Oryzias latipes: one gene and its partner. The protein of the gene in region 1 interacts with the protein of each later gene in a biochemical or structural test. Links are inferred from orthologs where the notes say so. Each region holds a gene or a part of one and is shown in the gene's direction. Other genes may lie near its edges.

Region 1 (6,840 bases):
GCTGTGCACGCGGCTCGACGCTGTTTGTGTTGTTGAGGTAAAAGGCCCCCAAAAGAGCCGATAACGACCCGTTTCCTTCATCCCGAGGTTCTCCGGGTTCTTTTCTGCAGCACAGGTGCGTCTTAACCGGCAGGTGAAGCAGGTGAGTGAACTTTAAGCCGAACCTCACGGACGTTACGCAGCAGTTTGAAGGTTAGCGCACGCGCTAAAGCGAAAATGATGAATTCTTGGTTTATGCAGTGATGCTGTTCATCCGTCTGCTGTGGTTTTGTGTAGTTAAACGCTGTAAAAGTAACGGTACTCCTGCCCGCAGTAACTAAGTACATCATTCAATTTACAGACATTAAAACTGCATCAAACCTCTGTTATTTATGCCCCCCCCCCGTAAAGAGACAGTTGGTATTAAAACTTTAAAACTTCCTTCCTGTTTATCATTATTATTACAACTTTCTAGAGGTTGTAAGAAAACTAATAATTCTATTTTAGTAAAGGGCGGGGCTTAATTAGAGCGCAGCAGTTCTGAACTCCGCCCACGTGCGCGCGGGGGGGGGGGGGGTAGCTGTCACAGGAATCTTTCCGCTCAGTTTCAATTCAGTTCTACGTTCAGAACCTCAAGGTTTGATATTTTGAAGCTGGTTTAGCTTTCCCAGTGAAGTATGAGAACATTGCAGGAGCGCGCCTGAACGTGCAGGAGCGCGCCTGAGCGTGCAGGAGCGCGCCTGAGCGTGCAGGAGCGCGCCTGAGCGTGCAGGAGCGCGTCCACGCGACCAAACCTGCATGACACCAAAGCAAAAGTGAGCAAATAAAGCAGCTTCTGCTGGAAACCATCAGTTTACTTCTGTGGGGCTCAACGTGTGGCTGCAGCTGCTGTTGTGTTTGTGGGTGCTCAGCTGTTTGTAAGTGGGGGGCACGTGGCTTTATCTGCAGCATGAAGCTGCGGGTTCGAATCCAGCGGCAGACCAGCAGGCTGGAGGTCCAGGGAGAGGCGCCCACCCTGCAGGAGCTGGCAGAGCTGATCCGGCAGACGCTGCTGCCGTCTCACGGACTCAGGTTCCTCCACCGCTGCTCGTCCGTATTGATCCTGATGTTTGAGGAAGACCTCCTGAACTCTGCCTCCATCCTCTCAGCGCCGACACGGCCTTCGGACTGTCCCTGAACGGCTCGGATCTGCTGTCCGACTCCGCCCAGACCCTGGTGTCCTGCGGCATCGACTCTGGAGATCTGATCTGGGTCCTGCTGCCCCCGTCTGCAGCTCCAGAGACCAGCGCAGTGACCGATGCTCAGCAGAGCTGCGGCTCCGCCTGCAGCTCCGCCCACAGCCAGGTGAGTCGTTTGGCTTAGTAAGTGAATGTTTTGACACAAAAGGAGGTCAGAAACCTTCATCCTGAAGAAGATTGGCCTTAGGAGGTCTGGACTTTAGAGAACTTCAGAGAGGAAGATGAATCCAGTGGCTTTCTGTGACGTCACTTTCTCAGTGGGGCGCCCCCTGGAGGCCAGACAGCCGTTGTGACATCATCATCACTGACGTCACTGACGCAGCGGACCATCAGGAGTCTGGTGGTCACGTGACTGTCGCTGTGCAGACACGCTTCTCTTCAGGTCTCCTGTCCTTCAAACTGAAGCGTTCTTGGGGGGTTCTGCGATGTCCTGAGGGGTTCTGGGATGTCCCGAGGGGTTCTGAAGGGTTCTGCGATGTCCTGAGGGGTTCTGTGATGTTTTAAGGGGTTCTGCGATGTCCTGAGGGGTTCTGCGATGTCCTGAGGGGTTCTGAAGGGTTCTGCGATGTTCTGAGGGGTTCTGCGATGTCCTGAGGGGTTCTGCGATGTCCTGAGGGGTTCTGCGATGTCCTGAGGGGTTCTGCGATGTTCTGAGGGGTTCTGCGATGTCCTGAGGGGTTCTGCGATGTCCTGAGGGGTTCTGCGATGTCCTGAGGGGTTCTGCGATGTCCTGAGGGGTTCTGCGATGTCCTGAGGGGTTCTGCGATGTCCTGATGGGTTCTGAAGGGTTCTGCGGTGTCCTGAAGGGTTCTGCGATGTCCTGAGGGGTTCTGGGATGTCCTGAGGGGTTCTGGGATGTCCTGAGGGGTTCTGCGATGTCCTGAGGGGTTCTGGGAAGTCCTGAGGGGTTCTGCGAATGTCCTGAGGGGTTCTGCGATGTCCTCAGGGGTTCTGGGAAGTCCTGAGGGGTTCTGCGATGTCCTGAGGGGTTCTGCGATGTCCTGAGGGGTTCTGCGAATGTCCTGAGGGGTTCTGCGATGTCCTCAGGGGTTCTGGGAAGTCCTGAGGGGTTCTGCAGTAGACAGGAGGAGCTTCTTGTCTGACTCAGCGGTGAGGAGCAGAAGCTCCTCAGAATCCAAAGGTGAAGATGGATCCAGACCTCGGTTCATTTTCAGAAGAACCTGTCCAGCGTTCTTCCTCCCCGCCGTTCCTGAAATGTTCCGGTTGATCTTCTGATGATGAAGATCTGCGTTCAGCCTCCTCTGTCTCCTCCATCTGCGACCTCTTGTTGTCTTCACGTCTTTCTGGTCCGAATGAAACGGCTTCTGTTCTTCCCTCCAGCCGCCTGGCAGCATCGAACCCGCGGGCTCGGCCCAGCCAGACGCTGACCCGGCGCCGCTCTGGGAGCCCATCCTGTGCAGCGAGGCGGAGGACGGTCAGGCCCCCCTGTCCCTGGACCTCCTCTACCACACGGCGCAGGTCAGCTGTCCTGACGACGCCGTGGTGGTGGCGTCGCACGTTCTCATGCTGGAGGCCGGCTTCACGTCGCAAGTGAGTGGAACGGGGGCTTTTTCTCTGTCCTGGGGGGTCCTCGGGGGCCCGGCGGTCTCACCTCTGCTGTCTTCAGGGCTGTGCGATGAAGCCTGCTGAAATGCCGGCAGGGTGGAGGTCCAGCGCCACCACCTACAGGCTGCAGTACACTCACCCTCTGTGTGGCAGCAGCTCTGCCTCCGTGGTGGGCGTGGTCATGGGCCCCCAGCTCGTCGTCAACGGTGAGGTTTTTCAGCGTCTTCAGAGGAAGGCGTCCCAGACTCTGACGTTTCCGGTTGGTGTTCTGTAGCCACCCTGAAGGTTCTAGAGAATGTGGGTTCGGTCCGGAAGCTCCAGTTGAAGGCGTCCAGCTTCGTGACTCAGGAGTGGGCAGGTAGGCAGGCGGCGGGGAGGCTCGACGCCGCAGCGCCGCTGAGTAATGCTGTGTGTGCTGTCCTTCAGGGGGAAGTGCCGCCGCGGCCTTCAAGGACCTCCGAAAGCTGTCCCGCGTCTTCAAAGACCAGCTGGCCTACCCTCTGATCGCCGCCGCCAGAGAAGGTAAACGCAGCCGAGGGGGCCGGTCTGCTTTTGTGAGCCACGCCCACAAGGAGGCAGAGGGTGGAGCTACCAGGAAGCTGTGGCGCCCCCTACAGGGAGCAGCAGAACGTTTGATCAAATGTTAGGGGTGCAGGTAGGGCCGGGAGAATGTTTGATATCACAATATCGTTTTATTCATCCTTTTTAAAAAAAGATTGAAATATTGTTGTGGCACAGACTTAGTATGTTTCTTGATATCCATCGTATCGCCAATACATGCCGCTATAAAATATTAAAAAGAACAGAAAATGCTGTCAAACAGGAAACGCATCATTTGAACGGCGATGGACTTCCTGGTGTCTCCCTGCTGTGGCTTTCTGTACCACTGGGGGGCGCCAGAGTGTGAATCAGAGTGGAGCAGAAAGCGTTTTCTTTCCGTTGCAGCCATGGCTCTGCCCTGGGCGTTCGGCCTGCAGGCCCTCCCTCCAGAGCTTCTCCTCAGGGTGCTCCGCCTGCTGGACGTGCGCTCGCTTCTCAGGCTGTCCGCCGTCTGTCGACTTCTGAACGCCGCAGCAGCAGACTCCTCGCTGTGGAGACACCTGTACCGCCGTGATTTCCCAGGTTAGAGCTGCTTCTCCGCCACGTTTTTTTAAACTTCAGAATCAGAGAAGCTGCACGTTCTTCAGCCAGAGACCAGCTGCGGACCAGGATTCACCAGGAAAACAGACATTTCTGTGTTTTTACACACATGTAGAGAATAAATGAAGCTACTAGTCTGATCTAAAGACGTCAGCAGATTATTCTTCAGTTTCTGTTGAATGTGAAGGAACCGCGTTTTCAGTCTGAAACATTTGGACCTCAATGATGTCATGTTTGTGCTTCAGGTTCTGGTGGAAACAGATCAAATGACTCGGACTGGAAGGAGGTGAGGAGGGAGTGAAACTGTCACACGGGTGTGAGATGTGTGGGGACCCACAGTGATGGGTCCTCCACGGCTTTGATTTCAGTCAAAGGAGGCTTTTAATTAGAAAATCTAACTAATATGTGTGAAGCTTAGAGGACAAACCAGAACATGAACAGAAGGAAGGTGGGCTTAATTCATGAATGAATCAGCCTGTAAACAGCCTGCAAACAGTCTGTAAACATTCTGCAAACAGCCTGCAAACAGTCTGTAAACAGTCTGCAAACAGCCTGCAAACAGTCTGCAAACAGCCTGCAAACAGCCTGCAAACAGTCTGCAAACAGTCTGCAAACAGTCTGCAATCAGCCTGTAAACAGTCTGCAAACATTCTGCAAACAGCCTGCAATCAGCCTGCAGACAGTCTGCAATCAGCCTGCAAACAGTCTGTAAACAGCCTGGAAACAGTCTGTAAACAGCCTGCAATCAGCCTGCAGACAGTCTGCAATCAGCCTGCAAACAGTCTGTAAACAGCCTGCAAACAGTCTGTAAACAGTCTGTAAACAGTCTGCAAACAGCCTGCAAACAGTCTGTAAACATTCTGCAATCAGCCTGCAAACAGTCTGTAAACAGCCTGCAATCAGCCTGCAGACAGTCTGCAATCAGCCTGCAAACAGTCTGTAAACAGCCTGCAAACAGCCTGCAAACAGTCTGTAAACAGTCTGCAAACAGCCTGCAAACAGTCTGCAAAAAGCCTGTAAACAGTCTGTAAACAGCCTGCAAACAGTCTGTAAACAGTCTGCAAACAGCCTGCAAACAGTCTGCAAACAGTCTGCAAACAGTCTGCAATCAGCCTGTAAACAGTCTGCAAACATTCTGCAAACAGCCTGCAATCAGCCTGCAGACAGTCTGCAATCAGCCTGCAAACAGTCTGTAAACAGCCTGGAAACAGTCTGTAAACAGCCTGCAATCAGCCTGCAGACAGTCTGCAATCAGCCTGCAAACAGTCTGTAAACAGCCTGCAAACAGTCTGTAAACAGTCTGTAAACAGTCTGCAAACAGCCTGCAAACAGTCTGTAAACATTCTGCAATCAGCCTGCAGACAGTCTGCAATCAGCCTGCAAACAGTCTGTAAACAGCCTGCAAACAGTCTGTAAACAGTCTGCAAACAGCCTGCAAACAGCCTGCAAACATTCTGCAAACAGTCTGCAATCAGCCTGCAGACAGTCTGCAATCAGCCTGCAAACAGTCTGTAAACAGCCTGCAAACAGTCTGTAAACAGTCTGCAAACAGCCTGCAAACAGTCTGTAAACATTCTGCAATCAGCCTGCAAACAGCCTGCAATCAGCCTGCAATCAGCCTGTAAACAGTCTGCAAACAGTCTGCAAACAGTCTGCAAACAGTCTGTTAACAGTCTGCAAACAGTCTGCAAACAGTCTGCAATCAGCCTGCAAACAGCCTGTAAACAGTCTGCAAAAAGTCTGTAAACAGCCAGCAAACAGTCTGCAAACATTCTGCAAACAGCCTGCAATCAGCCTGCAAACAGCCTGTAAACAGTCTGCAAACAGCCTGTAAACAGCCTGCAAACAGTCTGTAAACAGCCTGCAAACAGTCTGTAAACATTCTGCAATCAGCCTGCAAACAGTCTGTAAACAGCCTGTAAACAGTCTGCAAACAGTCTGTAAACAGTTTGCAAACAGTCTGCAATCAGCCTGTAAACATTCTGCAAACAGCCTGTAATCAGCCTGCAAACAGTCTGTAAACAGCCTGTAAACAGTCTCCAATCAGCCTGCAAACATTCTGCAATCAGCCTGCAAACAGCCTGTAAACAGTTTGCAAACATTCTGCAATCAGCCTGCAAACAGTTTGCAAACAGTCTGCAATCAGCCTGCAACCAGCCTGTAAACAGCCTGTAAACAGTCTGCAAACAGTCTGCAACCAGCCTGTAAACAGTCTGTAAACATTCTGCAATCAGCCTGCAAACATTCTGCAATCAGCCTGCAAACAGTTTGCAAACAGTCTGCAATCAGCCTGCAACCAGCCTGCAAACAGTCTGCAATCAGCCTGCAAACAGCCTGTAAACAGCCTGTAAACAGTCTGCAAACAGTCTGCAACCAGCCTGTAAACAGTCTGTAAACATTCTGCAATCAGCCTGCAAACAGTCTGCAATCAGCCTGCAAACATTCTGCAATCAGCCTGCAAACAGCCTGTAAACAGTCTGCAATCAGCCTTTAAACAGCCTGTAAACAGTCTGCAATCAGCCTGCAAACAGCCTGTAAACATTCTGCAATCAGCCTGCAACCAGCCTGTAAACAGTCTGCAATCAGCCTTTAAACAGCCTGTAAACAGTCTGCAATCAGCCTGCAAACAGCCTGTAAACATTCTGCAATCAGCCTGCAACCAGCCTGTAAACAGTCTGCAAACAGCCTGTCTCACCTGTTGCCATGTTTCCTTTCAGCTCTACAAAACGATGTTTGTCTTTCGCTCTGAAAGCCGCCGCAGCGCCACCCGACTGATGACCCCTCCTATTGGCCATCACATCTTTCATCCTTTGCCCCGCCCCTTCCCCCCTGTGCCAGGCATTATTGGGGGGGATTATGACCAAAGACCCAATCTCCCGCACGGCCTCCTGCCCCGCCCCCGACACGACCCCATTGG
Region 2 (8,435 bases), on another chromosome or scaffold:
CAATCAAATCCCTCTTAACCCTTGTGCTATCCTATGACCCCACCCTTATATTGACGTGTTCTCCCTACCATGACAAAGGTGGATAAAGGTGGAAAGATTTCATGTAATCCATGGACACCAGTGAAGATCACAAATCATTGATGAAAAAAGGTTCAGAGCACTGTCTAGTGGGTCTACATGACCCAACTCCCAATGTTAAAGTGCCTAAAATAGCACAAGGGTTACATTGAGCATTTGTTGTAACTGCAGGATTTTTCTTGGGGTTTGGTTAGCTCCTGTAAAAATAATCATATCACATAAAGGTGTATAACTTATACTATAAGAAATCTTTTCCATCTGCCATTTAACCCTTGTACTATCCTATGGGGTCAAGATGACCATTGACGTGTTCTCCCTACCATGATAAAGGTGGATAAAGGTGAATAGGATTTCATGTAATCCATGGACACCAGTGAAGATCACAAATCATTGAAGAAAAAAGGTAAAGAGCACTGTCTTGTGGGGTCTATGTGACCCAACTCCCAATGTCAAAGTGCCAAGGATTGCACAAGGGTTGAAGGTGTTTTTTTTTCTTCTTACTTAAAAATCTGCTGATTTGTACTATTGAATAGCTGACACTGCAAATATGAAGAAAACGTTTACAGCTGACTATAACAGTCTGACATTGGCTAAAAGTAAACACTACTTCTTGTGTCCTCACAGGGCGACTCCGGGGGTCCGCTTGTCTGCAATGATTACTTTGAGGGTATTGTGTCCTGGGGCATCAGCTGCGCTAACCCATACTACCCCGGCGTCTACACCAAAGTGAGGCAGTACGTCAAATGGATCAACTGGATTATTAACAATGACTCTCCATGAGCCGTCACTGAAAAGCTTGTTCTCAATATTGCTTCTATTGTTTGATGTAAAGGTAACCTGTTGATCAAAGTTATGTCAAAAGGGGATTTGGGGTCAGTTTTTTTCCACAATATATTGTCCCTCGTCAATACATGACATTGAGAAGTATCTGTAGAGGTCAAAGGTTAGTCAGTTAGTGGAAACTTTTAAAATGACTCATTTGACTCAAATCACAGATACAATTTGCCACACAGAAGCTCTTGATTTTGCAACTTTGCACAGAAACACATTGGGACAAAGAATTGACATTTAAACCTTTCTAGTGCTATTACATCTAAAAGACAATCCAGAATAAAGCATCTGATGACAACAAAGATGAGCTGTTTGTTTTATTTTTCAAAGTGTTTCCATTTTCTTCAAGCATTTTATTTTATTCCTCATCATAAAAAATAATAAAAAATTAAAGAAGATCTCTGCCTCTGAAATATGTTTTAGGAAATACAGAAGACCCAGCATGGTTGGTGACTACCTGAACCTATAATAATTCATAACCAAAATTACTCACCATAAAACACATTTTAGACTGCTCCTTTAGGAAATATTTAAAGATGCCAGACATTTCTGACCTGTAAGTGTTATAAAAAATCAAATATCTGCTTCCAAAACCTTTGTTAGATAGGTTGCATAAATAATTAAACGTTAATGAGATTGCTTTATGTGATGAATATCTTTTTTTTTGGTCCAGGAAATTTCTTTCCGTCATCTATATTCTTAAACTGCTGAATCCCTTTTGGGGTTGCTGGAACGTTCCGACTCATGTTGAACAAAGGCGTGGTGCATCCTGGACCAGTCGCTAGTCAGCAAGGCTCAAGAACATTCTTTTTTCTCTGTAATCTTTGAGGGCAAGATTTTTTACCCATAATATACACTGAAAATGCACAGAGGCTTGTTTGGCCATGAGATACTGAAAAACAAAACCCAAGCATCAAAAAATCTCCTTAAAAGAAAAAAGGAAAAACAAACCAAAGCCAAATTGCAGAAGCATAATATCGATTAATAATTTAATTTAAATATATGAATGAATTAAGGAACAGTGATGTTAGTATTGTTCATATTTATAACAAGGATCATGGTCATAAATGTAAGAATTGATGTTATTGTAGGGATTTTGAATAAGCACAGACGTAACAATTTCATGGTGAAAATAACAATAGAAGGAGTAATAGGACTGATTTTGATTTTTAATAACCTATGTGTGCATTTCCATTAACACAAAAATTAATATGACCTTGATATGGTACCTGCAACTGTACCTGTAAAAGTTTTTTCACTCATAATTCAAAGTGACATGCAATTCTCAATAGGCAATTCAATTTTCCATTTGATCACACATTTTGCAATTGGCATTTCAATGCATTTTGTGATTTAGAATTCAAAATGAACAATAATTAAAATTAACTGTCACGGTTTTTTGATACTACAATTCAAATAAAATGCATTTTGCAACTTTTAATTAATTATGCTTTTTTATTATTTTATCATTATGAATTCTAAATCGCAAAATGCATTTTAAACTGGGACTAAACAGGGATATGGTCAATTCAGAATTGAATATTACTTTGAGTTATAGGTGAAACAAAACTTCCATATCTTAGAGACTTAGGGACATAGTCTGGAAACCCCCAGAGAAAACAAAGTTCTAACATTGAGGGAAAGAATAATTACAAATAAAAAAAATGTGTTAATCAAGCTAATGTTGTTAGCTGATTTAGATGTATTTATGCATTTGTCATCATATACTGTGTTAAAAATAACTTTTATTTCTGTCACATCATTCCTTTAACCTTCCAGTGCAAATTCTGACCAAAGCTCAGCAGGAACCTCCAAGTCCTACCCTGCGTCTATGGTCCTGCTTCAATAATACAGTTTTTATGTCACAAATAAACTACTTATCATTATAAAGACAAAAGAAGAAAATTAAAATTAATATCCAAAGAAAATAATTAACTTTCCTTAAAATGCACTGGTATTTTCCCCGCCCCTTTAAAATCATTCTGCCAATCCTGCCTGTTTCTCAGGATGGGTCAAGGGGATGAATATGATGCATTCAAAGTATATCCGTAACTAGAAAAAAAAAACAATGATGCTGGGATCCAAACAGCTCTAACTCAGTTTGTTACAACAATTACCGTTAATTAAAAATATAGACGATAATTTTAACTGCACAACACAAAATAAATGCGCTAAGGTGCTGAGGCCTGAAATATACAGTATTGTGGTTCCCACTCGTTGAAGGGGGCCATGAATGTATTTTATCTAAACCAATGACCATAGGTCCTTTGCGCATGCTCAGTAGCATTTGTTTTGTTTAACTTTGCTCCTCGCGGCAGCTGTTTGAGGCTGACCTGCATTCCCGGGGCTTTAAAACGTTTCTAAAAACCCTTCTGGGCTCACAATGTCTGTTAAACACGCTATTAGCCGAGGGCTGGAGTTGGGCCGGTCGATTTTTCAGCTGGGGGTCCTGAAAGCAGGTAGTCGGGTCGCAGCGAAGCTCCGAGCTGACCGAGTTCGTGCGGGCCCGGCCTTCCGGACCGCTCAGCCTCAGGCTTTCCTGCCTCTCCGATACCGGTATTACCGCACCTCACTGAGGGGTCTGGCAGCTCAGCTCCAGTGGGCTGGCTTCGTTAGGAGGTTTGCCGGAGGTTCACCGCGGAACAGAGCCGTCTTTCTGGCGTTTGGCCTCGGTGTGGGATTAATCGAGAAGCAGATTGAGGACGACAGGCTGAGTTTGGCAACGTGCAATGAGATAAAGGTATGAATTCCTGCTGTCATTTCAGTCTGAGCCTCAGTAGATCTGACATTTTATATTTGCGTTTTTTATAGCGACTGTTTTATGTTAAAACTTACTTAAAAAAATCATCGATTTTACTGTAATTTTATAGAAAAAACAAAATTTAGAACATAGCTGTGTAAATCTGTTGTTCAAATAAAATAAATTGACAAGTTTAATTCTTTCATTTATTGGGTCCAATGAGGTTAGTATTTATTATAGTAAAATATGTATTAATTAATCATTTTTTATCTATTTTAAAAGCGTTTCCAGTGGTCTTTTCATTAGGATTATTCCATTTAAAAAACGTTTGTTTTCTTGGACGTAGTGTCTGCAGTAGTTTATTAGAAATTCACCCCTGAGTTGTGGGCGGGACTGTTGCCACGGAGCAACCCCGCCCCCTTTCCTCTCCCAATTGCAGAGAGCTCTCTGTTTACATGCTCTCCCGCTAGCTTACAGCCCCCACACCCTCATCCCTAGCAGAAATGGTGAGCAATATTGGAGCTATCCAGAGGTAAACGAACACGGATCTTTGTCTGCAAGTTGTTGCTTTGGAATGGAGCAGAGCAGGCAGCTTGTGACCTGCCCAGCATGTTTTTTACATCACAAATACGATATTTTTTCAAACGGCATTGTTTCGTCTGCTCCTGATACATGTCAATGTGAAATGAACCGACAGTACAAGCTCATCCCTGGAAGTGACAAACTAAGTTATGCTGCAACTGACAACAACACAAACTTAAACTTTAGAATAGAATATAACTTTATCAATCACTTGTTACAACCTCTTTTGACAACGGCAAATAAATAACAAAAAAAAAATAAAACACTAGAAAAATGAATAACAATAACTATTGACCAGTGTCAGGTGTTAGAGTCTAATATCTGACAGGAGGAACGATCTGCAAAAGCTCTCATTCCTGTAGCTAAGTGTTCAAGTCTCTGACTGAAGGAGCTCCTCAGTGCACCGATTGCAGTAAATCCTGATGATGAAGAGGAATGTCCAGAATGGAGCTGGATCTTCACACTGTTCCTGTCAGTGCCATCATGAAATCTCTACAAGAGTCCTGCAATTTCTGAAGGACCTCAGTCTCCTTAGCCTCTCCTGCCCTCTGGTCGCTTCTCTAGCAGCATTTTGTTGTTGCCAAGCAACAACAACTGATTGTGTAAATCAGCGGTGTCAGAATCCAGGCCGTGAGGGTCCAACATGTTTTTCAAGCAACCTGCCATTGAAGCTCCTTATTGGCTAAACACACCTGATCCACAAGTCATCAGCAGCAGCAGCAGATAAGGCAGGATTTTTGGGAAACCAGCAGGAGGCCGGCCCTCGAGGCCTGGAGTCTGACACCCCACCCCCCCACCCCCCCCTCTGCTGTAAATGATGCACCTGCAGCCCGCTTGAGACCCAGAAGGGGTGGAAATTAGCCCAAAAAGGGGTGACATGCATGCCATCACACTGATTATGTGAAAAAATATCCATGTCCATCAAAAAGAGGTCAATAATATGAAAGTAACAAAACAAAAACAAGGAAGTTAGCCTGAAGGAAAGTAGAGTAAATGTAAACCCATTAGCAGTAGTTTTAGCAAAAATAACTGGTTTGATGCTATTAGGTTTGTATGAATTCATGAGACAATTTTAATCAATGATACCACGCTGGTAGTTTGTCAAGCTTCTTAAATCTCAGAGCATCGGCTTCTACAAGGCTGTTTTAGTGTTAAAAGTTAAGTGTATAATTGTAGATTTCAAAAGGACACTTCATTTACATACCAAAGTAAAGACTTTGAACTCTGCTTTAATGAAACCTGAATCTAATTTCTCCTGAACTGCAGGCGGTGTTCAGAAAGAAGAAGTTCCAGAGCCCGCTCAAGCCCTTGGCCTATGGATACAAACTGGAGGATTACATTGTAGGAAACCAGATTGGGAAAGGATCCAACGCAGCTGTGTATGAAGCTGCACCTCAGTTTTTCTGCTCCAAGAAAAGCGATGGTGAGCCCGCCGCGGTGCAGATACGAGACAGTGAGGGCGAGGAAGGAAATCGCGTCATGCCATCTCTGAGTTGCTGCTCTCTAAGGAACTTCCCGCTGGCAATCAAGATGCTGTGGAACTTTGGGGTGGGTCATGGCCAGCACCCATGTATGTGGGGAGGGGAAGAAAGGTCGCTTTCTGACCGGTGTTGTGATTCTATGTGTTTGCAGGCAGGGTCATCAAACGAGGCGATCTTTAGATCGATGTCCCATGAGCTGGTTCCCACAGACCCCCTCGCTCTGGCGCCAGCAAAACAGCAACTTACTTTAGACGGGTAAATATGTTAACGAAGTCAAAGGGCTGCAACGAATCATTACTGAACCTGATCACTAGCCACAGTTGGGTGTGTTTTATTCGGGAGGAGGATGATCGGTTAGCATGACACTTGAATAACACACTTGAGGTACCGTAACTCTTCCACCATTTACGTGACCAACTTGTATCAGCTGATTCTGACGTGGAGATAAGCGGCTTTTCTTAGCGGCTTTGCATAGATATGTAACGTATTATGAACGTAAAGGGTTGCATCACAGCAATTTAAAAAGATGACAAAATCCATCAGAGTGTATAGTGGCAGATATGAGGCCATACTGCCTTGTGGAGAACAAGGGATTTGAATATATACCGTAAAAGAACAAGCAAAATCCCATCGCAACACAAAAATCATTCTAGAATTTTAAGAGCATGTAGAAGAATTATCTAGTCCAGAGGTTCTCAAAGTGCGACCCGGGGGCCAATGGTGGCCCGCGGGAAGATTTTTTTGTGGCCCTCGATAAAAGAGAGCCAGAGTAGGTTCCTTTGAGGAAAAACGTGTTGGCGAGGAGAAAAGGCGCTTTCAAGCTAAGTGGACAAATGCTTACTTTGTCGTACCTCATGGGCTGGATAAAGTCATGTGCCTTATTTGCAAGCAAAAAAATCATCACTATGTCACAAATCATAAAAACTATGACAACCGGCAAGGAGTGCAACTATAATCTCCAACAACTACAACGAGGCTATGCTGTACAGCAGATGTTTACAAAAATGGCTACATCCAGTGAAGCTGTGACAGAAGCTAGCTACATTGTGGCTTTGGAAATTGGAAATTTGGTCCAGCAAAGCAAGCCCTTCATTGACTGGGAGTTTGTAAAAACAATGTATGCTGGAAGTAGCTGACATTGTATGTCCAGATCAAAAGAAAGTCTGTCAAATGAAACTATTAACAGACGAGTAGAAGATCTGGGCAGCAACCTCCGACCGCAACTGGGAAAACATCTGGAGGGCCTGGTTAATGGCATTTGGTCATTAAAGTTATTAAAAACAACTTTTTTTTTTTTCACCAAAATTGGCCCCCAGTGTAATGTCGAGTTCATAATTTGGCCCTCTGCTACAAAAACGTTGAGAACCCCTGATCTAATGGATTATCCATTGCTCTCACCATACATGGGTGGAGGCCTGGCGCTCACTTTACCACACCAGATTGGTAGACGAGAAGCCCAGTATTGCAGAAAGACCAGAGAGTTGCACCAGAACCAATGGTGGGGCCAATGGTTTGTACACCAGGTTCTGTGTACAAAACGTGCAGCCACTGAACGCGCGTTGAAAGTGAAACCAGGTCGAGCTTTGACCAATCAGGGACTCTAGTGATGTACAGTGATCCCTTGCTATATCACGGTTTACTTTTCACGGTTTCGCTACTTCACGGATTTGGATTGTGCATTGTGTTCTGCATTCTGATTGGCTAAAAAGTCACTCAGCGAGTAGCTCAAGAATGGGACCCTTTGATGAGCCGTTCATTACAGTTCTCCAACATAATCGATGGTGGCATGTCGGTGTATAAGGATCTTTAGCAAAGAAGAAAAAAGAGCGACAACAACTGCCTATCACTATGTTCCTCTCCCGAACAAACACACCTGCAGCTGCACCGCGGGCTTCAGAAGGAAAAAACGCTGCAGAGGATGCAGCGGCTCAGTATGAAGAGCAGTGAAAAAGTAGACCGGAGTCACTATCTGTCCCACTGTACTTTTTTTATTTTTTTCATAATCATTTTAAATTTTCCTCCGTTTAATCCACTCGGGTCGCGGTGGGCGGGGCTAATCTCCGCAATTTAAAGCCTTCTGTTCTTATCGATGATTGAAATTATTATTTGACAGCACACTACAGAAGTTATTTGTTGAAAAACGTTTCTAAAGTACTTTTATTTGTTAAAAAAACAATTGATTTAGCCTGTTAAATGGTTTGTTCTTTCTTTTCAATGTATAATAGTGAATTTCATTGTATAATAATTGTAAAAAAATAAAGGTTTCTACTTCACGGGTTTTGCTTATCACGGGTTCTATTTGGAACGTAACCCCCGCGATAATCAAGGGATCACTGTATTTGATGGCAACCCTTAAAATTACAGAATTACCAAACGCTTAGAAATAATCATGGAGGAGCTGAATAATTTAGGTGTGTGTCTGGCCAGAATTCTATAACGCCAAGTCTTTCATATATCAGAATGGAGCTGTAAATTCACAAGATTTGCACCTCTTTGACGTTTCAATTTCCCTCTTCCAACTGTAGGTGGCAAACTTTCACTATTATACAGTAGAAAAAGGAAAAAAAAAGAGGAAGAAGCCCGCTGCTTGTTGAAAGCGTGTTCTTGAACACATGTTGCATATCCGGTGTGAATGTCCCCAAAGTCAACAATTTCCTCACCACAGATAATTCCAGAAACCCAATTAATGCAGTATCAACAGTTTGAGGTCAAAGGTGTTCATT

The links.
Region 2: the proteins of fbxo7 (region 1) and pink1 form a complex in vitro, tested with the Homo sapiens proteins (2 studies listed by BioGRID, with this or other methods). The link is inferred for Oryzias latipes from reciprocal best matches to the Homo sapiens genes FBXO7 and PINK1.

What each region holds. Positions count from the first base shown.
Region 1 is NC_019881.2:23,754,119-23,760,958, forward strand, and holds part of fbxo7 (F-box only protein 7), read left to right. Parts: 5' UTR 1-115; exon of another isoform or gene 116-142; intron 143-927; 5' UTR 928-928; coding exon 929-1,050; intron 1,051-1,127; coding exon 1,128-1,323; intron 1,324-2,558; coding exon 2,559-2,768; intron 2,769-2,844; coding exon 2,845-2,989; intron 2,990-3,057; coding exon 3,058-3,141; intron 3,142-3,209; coding exon 3,210-3,305; intron 3,306-3,728; coding exon 3,729-3,905; intron 3,906-4,168; coding exon 4,169-4,209; intron 4,210-6,640; coding exon 6,641-6,840. UniProt on the Homo sapiens protein: Substrate recognition component of a SCF (SKP1-CUL1-F-box protein) E3 ubiquitin-protein ligase complex which mediates the ubiquitination and subsequent proteasomal degradation of target proteins and plays a role in several biological processes such as cell cycle, cell proliferation, or maintenance of chromosome stability.
Region 2 is NC_019865.2:23,687,283-23,695,717, forward strand, and holds the start of pink1 (serine/threonine-protein kinase PINK1, mitochondrial), read left to right. Parts: upstream 1-3,180; 5' UTR 3,181-3,292; coding exon 3,293-3,649; intron 3,650-5,497; coding exon 5,498-5,779; intron 5,780-5,863; coding exon 5,864-5,967; intron 5,968-8,435. Other genes in the region: trypsin-2-like, read left to right, coding at 703-858. UniProt on the Homo sapiens protein: Serine/threonine-protein kinase which acts as a sensor of mitochondrial damage and protects against mitochondrial dysfunction during cellular stress.